2 linked regions of the Arabidopsis thaliana genome follow. The protein of the gene in region 1 interacts with the protein of each later gene in a pairwise test. Each region holds a gene or a part of one and is shown in the gene's direction. Other genes may lie near its edges.

Region 1 (4,210 bases):
ATCTGCTAAGATCTACAATGAAACCAGAAACAGGAGAATATTAGGTCGTTAATCAAGGCGTTTGTTCATGGAAGCCTCTACACAGTTTACAAAATTGAAAGTTACCTCGGAGAAGTCTAGCTTAGCAGCATTAACTCGGTTTCCCATCAATTTAACAGATTTGGCATATAGGATATTGTCTGATATGATCTTAGCAAGCTCGGGAAAATGCCATCCATACCATTCTCTAACCCTCATGGCGTATGTGTTCAGCTCTTTGTCAAGATCATCAAGCAGACCAATAGCTTGGATAATCATGGTATCCACCTGACAAAAACTAAACAGTTAGGAGATGCAAGAGAAGCAAAAACAAACACAGGAAACGTTTAATGTCGGACAATCAAAGGCTAGTTCAATACAGAAGTTCCATAATTTAACACAAGTTAGCTTCGATCAATTAACAAATTCATATACTTCACATATCATATCACCAAATAAAAAGACCAATACAATTAGTCAGGAACCGAAGATACCTTGTCAGAACTAAACTTTAGCTTATATCTGGCGAGACTGTGAGACAGACCCAAGCTCATAGGAGCCAAGTCTTGATCACCCAACCCAGATATGAGTTCAGTAAACTGACTTCTAACACCACGTAGAAGCTCCATAACAGCATTGTTGTGAATGCAATCAATTTTCTGTATGAAATTAAGAACTTTCATTAGAAACAAAACACAGAGCAGACAGGAATATGGGTGTAATGATGGGAATTACAAACCAGTTTCTCCTTGATAACATTCCCAAGCTTTGAATCAGCCACAGCCAAGGTTTCACCTTGACAATTAGCTTTCAAAAACTTGCGCAGACCTTTGCTTGGAGCTCCCTCCAGCAATTTAGCCACAGCTTCGAGAGCTTCAGATGTATTGTCAAACTTCTCAAAAGCTTTTAGCTTAACCATCTGGTACACCAATAAAAACATATGAGAAACTCAACACTAAATCTAATTTTAGATGTTCTGAAACCACACTTGATGAAGAAGCAAAAAAATTACCTTTCGTGCTGAGTCTGGAGTGTCGAACTCTTTACACAAATCCTGCAAAAAAAAATAAAAAATAATCCATGAATACTTTTAGAGCCTTAAGGATAAGCAAAGAGAGTACAAAAGAATGAAGAGAACTCACCTCGACGTTAGCCATCTTTCCTTCATCTTTAACTTTAAAGAGGGCAAACCCCGCCGCTGTCTCGTATAGCACTAAGACCATCTTCACAAAACTCTTAAGCTGGACCTGAAGAGAAAATTAAGACAACACTTAACTCAGAACAGTAAAGATACGTGTCCGAGTCACACTAATTAAACTAAAAGTTCGTTTTGAGATTAAAAACTAGCGAGAAACAGCATTCCATATAAACCCTAATCCTACTTTTAGATCACATAAGAAATACAGGAGAAGAAAAAACAGAGAGATAAACTACAATAGCCTTAAAACTCTGTCCGAGTATGAGTATTCGAAACTCCACAATCTCCAGCAAGAATGGAAAAGTGAAACACCGTGAAGAGAGAAGATGAGAGATATTAAATACCTGAAGAGTTAATCAAAGCAGCTGCGTGAGAGAGAGGAAGAAGATGAAGACGGAGACGGACAATCACTTAGGGTTTTAAGAGTGTGTTGTTATAGCAGTTAAAGACGAGCCGAGCCTTCTTAAAACGCCGCGTATTGTAAGGGGTATTTCTATAACTTCCATAGTTAGGGTTTAGGTTTTAAGATTAATGGGCCTGACTGAATGGATATTTTAATCTGGCCCGTTTATAATATTAATACGTGGGCGTTTTATTGTTCTCTTCCCCCTTAATAGTTTTTCTTTTTTAATCCCTTTGTTTCTCTGTGGTATTCAACAAATTTGTCTCGAATTTATAGAGCTCGAAGCTTCAAGGTACGGTTTCAAATTTTCTCGTTGATTTTCTGGGTAGATAGCGTTTTCCATACTTCTCTTCAACTTTATTTCATAGTATAGCTCTGATTTTGCTAAAACTTCATCTGATTAGTTCCGTGGATCCTGAAAATCACGATTTTGCGTGTTGTTTAGGGTTATACTCTGTAGTTGTGTGATTAGTGTTTGAAGAAGCTGGGCTAGTGTTCGATGTTTACGTCGATAACCTAATTTTGCAGGAAGTTATAATGGCTAGTGAAGATGAATCGATTGAACAAAAAGCTGCTGCTCGTAAAGAGGCACTTAAAGCTCTAAGGGCAGCTCAGGAACTGTCTGAGACCAAGGAAGACGGAGAGGATGAAGCTGTCGAAGAAGAGTGAGTTTGCTTTGTTCTTTGCTTATTTTGTTTGTCTTGACTAGCACATGGAGTTGTTAATGTTGTGTGTTGGCTTTAGCATAACTAGGAGCTTCTCTTGTGCTTTGCTTCTCGCCTTTACTATCACTGTTTGTGAGAGAATCAATAATGGTGCTCTTGCAGCATCTGTTACCTAACAATTTTTTCCAATTTCAAGTTGCATTGTTGTGTATACTTTGCTTAGGTGGTTGGTTTTGTTGATTGATTATTCGAGGTAGATTCCCTTTTTATTCATATGAATTGTCTTTGATTTTACAGTGGTCCAGCCATGAAGTTTAGAAACTATGTTCCCCAAGCTAAGGAGCTTCAGGATGGTAAACTAGCGCCACCAGAGCTACCCAAATTCGAAGATCCGATCGTTGCACTTCCACCTGCTGTAGAGAAGAAAGAGGTGTGTGTGACAGTTTTTCTTTTCTCTGTACAAGGATCACCAAAAGCGACTCTGTTTAGCATTGTTGTTTCCTTTACTTGTGCCTCTTAAGCTTACAAAAAATGTTATCATTGTAGGACCCATTTGTTAACATCGCTCCAAAGAAGCCAAACTGGGACCTCCGAAGAGATGTGCAGAAGAAGCTTGATAAGCTCGAAAGGCGGACTCAAAAGGCAATGCATAAACTCATGGGTAAGTGGCAACTGTATCTACATACTGATATCTTCTATGTAAGCTTGATAATTAAGACATTAGTCTGTGGTTCGTGAGTAAGTGAGTAACATTTCACTGAATCTGTTGGTAGTATGATACCAAATCATAGAAGTCCAAAATAGAGTGATCTGTTGGTGTTTGTTTATTATGGAACTAACACATGCACTTTCATCATCTAATTGCAGAGGAGCAAGAGAAAGAACGTGAGATGGCTGAAGCTGATGGTAACACCATAGAAAGTTGAAACCCAACGACGTCATCAAAGAAAGCCACCACTGAACAGTATATTCTACTCGATTTTGTTTAACTGTTAAAGCATTCGAAGTGAGTAGACCATGTAAAATCCTACAGCCATTGGCATAGACATAGTAGGTTTATCTTCTTGTGTGAATCAAAGAAAGTCGCAATTTATTTCCGAGTAGAATTAAGTGCGGTCCGGTTTTTCTCTAAATTTGGTTCAACATCGGTGGTAATCTAGTTTGATCATTAATGGAACTGCGTTTTTTGGTTTGATTCGATTTACTGTGGTTTGATAAAGACATCCCAAACTAGAAACCAAAGTTTTGATTCGGGCTAGACGGGTTTAGTTTGGAGTCTGGGAAAACAACACAGAGAGCTTCTAAGACCTTTCTTCTCGGCATGTTGCTTCCACAGTGGGATGATGGAGTTTAGATACAATATTTGTTTATTAATACCGAACAATCAAAAATAGATACTAAGTTTTTTTGTTTTCCAAAGCTCAAACCTAATGTACAAATTCAGTAAAGCTTTCGACACCATCTCACCTAAATATCTTGGACCTTTATTGGTGCCCACTTCTCATGAATCCAAGCTCCAAAGAAGAGAAGCTAAGTAAACACTAGGCCAAGGTAAACCAAGATATATGCTTTTCGAAGGAACAAGCAATGAAAAGCTATAGACTTCCATGTGATTAAATGCACCAGCAGACAGATCCCAATCTGTAGAGCAATAAATGAATATGGTGATATTCAATTTCAAGGCTTCGATCAACATAACATTATTGTTCCTATCATTTGTTTCAAACCAAAAAGAGCAATCTACAAAGGCTTTGGTATCAGGAGTTGTGAAAAAGCTCACATGAAAAATCTACCAACTCAAGTATCTCTATTTTTCTTTCTGATGAAAATACCTAATATGAAATCACCTTCCCAAGTAAAAACTGTCAAGTAGATGGAGCCGCTCAATAAATTTTATCTTGACAACACACCAACATAATGCATTAC
Region 2 (4,087 bases), on another chromosome or scaffold:
ATTAAAACTTACATAATTGAATATTTACATGTTTGGAAAAAAAACTTGAGTAAAAGAAAAAAAACTTGATAAAAATCACTAAAAATTATGTTTACACTTGAGTTAAAAGCAAACATTTTATCTACATAAGATGATACTAATACAAACTAATGGCCTATATATATTTGTAATCCATGAAATTTAATTTTATTTTTGTAACAGACATTATGATTGTAACATTTTAATTTCTTTGCCCAAAAACAAAACATTTTATTTTTAAGTTATTCGACTTCTTATTTGTGTTCATCCCATTTTTTTGTTTCCAACCGATGAACAACGGAAGGTTGCGTCAAAACGCAAAGGGTTGTGTTGTTTGTGTTGAAGTGGAGCTCCTTCATTTTAGGAACAAGCAGAGGACGTTACACAATCAAACTCAGTTTCTTCCCTTATTTAACGTAACCACTAATTCTATTTTCTTGTTCTTTTACAAAGTTCATAAATGGAAATGAACACGTAAGAAGAAATAAAACAAAGTTCAAAACTAAGAAACAGAAAAACAAAAAAAAACATAAAAAAACATATAAAAAAAACATAAAATTACAGAAGAAAAAAATGGGTAGCTTCCTTGAGGTTCTTTGTGCAATCTTCATACCTCCTGTTGGTGTGTTCCTCAGATATGGCCTTGGGGTAAATTTTTTTCATTCATAAATCATAAAAATATATGACACATTTGACATTAATGGTCAAAGTAAGATCAAATCTCTTGTTTTTTTGTTTCTTTGTATATGTGTTTGCAGTTGGAGTTTTGGGTCTGTTTGCTTCTAACGTTATTCGCTTTTATCCCCGGACTGATATATGCCATCTACGTTCTCACCAAGTAGGAATAACCAATCAAAAACACTGGATCCTTTTTTTATTTTATAACTTTTTCTTTTTCCAACAATGTTTGCTTTTTTAGATTTTTTATGTTGTATTTAAGGAATCAGTTTTGTAATCTAGCAAACTTTTTGCTATGTTAGATGTATGTAAATTCCAGCAGTTTCCAAATTGCTGTTGTTCTAGTTTGCAGAGGTTATGGATACATTTTACGGATCATAAACAGATTTGGAAGATTGATGATATTATTATATGCGTGATATAAATTTTGAATTGTAGTAATACTACATCTAAAGAGTGATCAAATTATTAGTACCATTAGGAACTATAAAGTTCTGATAGAGATATTACATGGAGTCATCGATACACACAGTTTACTTATGCGTATAACGATAAATATAAACCTGTGTACATACATTTATAATTTTATATAGCTTCTGCAATTCCGATTTGAAGATTGCTTGAATCGAATACCGTGTGGTATAGGCTCCCATGAAGACGTTCCCAATAATCCCTGCATATACAAATTCTTTACCTCAAAGTGGTAAGCAAAAAATGTAAACAAAATCTATTGAAATCGTCCCATCTTACCAAAGAGGATCAATTGGTATAGTCAATGCTCTCCCATAATGAAAAAAATTATGAGCTACTTGGTTACAACAACGATTCGAATGAGAAAAATATTATTTTCTAACCTTAAATATCCAAGATATCGGTGTAAATTCCGATAATAGATGCGTCTATTAATCCATTGTTAATGCTGTCAATTAAGGTTTTTTGCAATCCCCTCTAACTCTCTAAGTGTACCTCGGTGAAACCTCGAATCTACTTTACACTAACTTTTAATTAGTTCGTACTAATTAACGAAAAAAAAACCTTTTAATTAATTCAGAAAGACAGAAACCAACTCCTTGAAAAAACAAATTGTTTTTCCGAGCCACGTGTATCACTTGGATCCGACGATTATTGTGTCCGGCCCATTAAGATAGTTAACACTTATTGGGCTTCCAAATATCAGCTAATTAGACACGTGGATCTGATTCTCTTCTCCGTCTTCTTCCGACAAGCTCGACGGCGACACAGCCAAAGAAACTACGCATCACCGGTAACGACAGAGATTGCTTTTGCTTCTGGTATTTATGTACCAATTCTGCTCTCTTTTTTACTGCTTAGATCTTAACCCATATAGAGTTATTATATCTGTTGCTCGTTTTTGAAGTTGCCCTTATACTGCTCGATGAAATGCCTCAGTGAATATCTTAATCACAAAACCGAATAGTTTCGTTTCTCTTATACTTAAATTAATTTGGTGTTGTTATTACAGAGAGAAATGGCGTTAAGGCAGAAGTTAGGATGGTCAGAAGGAGATCTGATGAGATCAGATGCTAAGCCATGTTCAAGACTGATGAAACAAACAGCTGCCATTTTCACTGTTGGTGGAGCTCTTGGTTTCTGGGTTCTTTGCAGACTTCACTATGGTAAACAAAGTTCTCTCCTTTCTAATCAGTGATTTGCGTTTCCATCAAAAGGTTGTTCTCCATATAGCTATTGAATCCAGTGCTCTGCATAATTGATTGTTAGAAAGATTTCTTGTAGCCTTATGAAAACATACCAATGCGTATTACCATTCTGTTTTCTGTTCTGTAGTATCCGTTTCTTATGAGAAAAATGAATCCAAAAGGAGCTTTGATTGAATAGTTTGATGTGGTGAAAGATTGGATCTTTACACGTTTTGGGAAGCAATACACTTGTTCTTTGATTCCTATTGTCATGAAAAATGATTCTTGGGGTTGGTTTGTTGTTTATGTGGTTTTAAGAGTAAAAGGAACGTAGAATAGAATAGTTGAGTCAATTCTAAGATAGAACGGTTATAAAAGCAAATGTTTTCTTTGGGAAATGTGTAGGTCCAAGGATCACAGTGCCAAGGAGTCTGCGGTGGGCTGGGTGTGGTGCTTTGTCCGTAAGCACATCAACTGCAATGCTTGTCCGTCTCTTCAGCCCTGAATGTGAACCACAAAACATTGCTGCATATGATAACATCAAAACCCCTCAAGCTTCACTCCCTTAAACCCCATCATAATCTGGCTTTACCTATGATGTGTATGGACCTCATCTTCTGTACATTTTCTTGCAGTACATGAATTTAGGTAACTATTTATAATACTACCAAATTCTGTCACTTTTTGTTTCCTTTAGAAATTATGGTGTATTTTTTCATATAGCCTTTAGGTTGATAGAGTTAAGAGTATCATCCTATGCTCCTCTCTCATTTTCGTGTGTGTTTGATTATGAGTGTAGTGTAATTGGCCATTGGTCACACTCTTTTGGGAGAGTGTTTAGCTTTCTAAAGCTTTTGCTGTCGAAGGGAAGACCTTTGGATTTATTTGGAGGGTTGGGTCTCACTATCCCCTCAAACTAGTCATAGGTGGAATATCCACACCGAGGTTGTGACTTCATGGAGATGCCTGCTAGTTAAATATGTGTAGGAATATGTTTGATCACCAACAAACCTAATGCTACCATTTCTCGAGCATAATTAATTAATTAATTATAATCGACATCAATGTGTTTTGAATGTGAGTAAAGAGCTAGGATTTCAGTGATATTGTCATATAGACACAGCATATAAGCCTGTGGTATTATAATGTCATGGAGAACATAACTTAATCAAGTGAATTCTGCAAGCTATGGAGGCCAAAGATCTAGCTTTTTGGAACGGAGGTTGTTTCTTTGCATTTCGAATGAAAACAATAGTTGAAGCAGAACATCCTTAGGTCAATAGTTTGAATCCGGTAGGGTCAGATCTTATTTTCTAAAGCTTGTTTCATTCCATTTTCAGTGTTCTTTGACAAGAGTATTACAACAAAATCGTTATCAAAAGAGAACTCAATAAGAGAAATGCATACATGTCAAGTTTTTTTTTTTTGGTAAAAGGTTAAGTTACGTTACATGCCAAGTTTGTTATAGGGAATGAGTGGAAATGTCAGAGGTTACTTTCACTATACTTGACACCTTATGATGTTTGAACCATTGACTAGGCAGACTACAAAACCAAAAGATCCATCCACATGTGGTTTTTGCACAGTTCTTGGCGCAAAGAAACAACCTCCTGTCTACCAACTGAGCGAAGGTCGAACTGTACTATTGCATTTGATACATGTGTAAAATTATAACAATATATGAACACAATGATTTTGCAGTACTTTAGAATATACAGAGTGATTCCTCTTTA

The links.
Region 2: the proteins of AT3G05070 (region 1) and AT1G57540 interact in a protein complementation assay, tested with the Arabidopsis thaliana proteins (one large-scale study listed by BioGRID).

The regions. Positions count from the first base shown.
Region 1 is NC_003074.8:1,414,324-1,418,533, forward strand, and holds AT3G05070 (Cwf18 pre-mRNA splicing factor), read left to right. Parts: upstream 1-1,751; 5' UTR 1,752-1,911; intron 1,912-2,147; 5' UTR 2,148-2,156; coding exon 2,157-2,284; intron 2,285-2,581; coding exon 2,582-2,714; intron 2,715-2,830; coding exon 2,831-2,945; intron 2,946-3,151; coding exon 3,152-3,210; 3' UTR 3,211-3,519; downstream 3,520-4,210. Other genes in the region: AT3G05060 (NOP56-like pre RNA processing ribonucleoprotein), read right to left, coding at 1-12, 106-306, 513-677, 758-937, 1,031-1,072, 1,161-1,241; AT3G05080 (uncharacterized protein), read left to right, coding at 3,715-3,822.
Region 2 is NC_003070.9:21,309,314-21,313,400, reverse strand, and holds AT1G57540 (40S ribosomal protein), read left to right. Parts: upstream 1-1,879; 5' UTR 1,880-1,988; exon of another isoform or gene 1,989-2,179; 5' UTR 2,180-2,185; coding exon 2,186-2,333; intron 2,334-2,759; coding exon 2,760-2,923; 3' UTR 2,924-3,506; downstream 3,507-4,087. Other genes in the region: AT1G57550 (Low temperature and salt responsive protein family), read left to right, coding at 592-666, 777-860.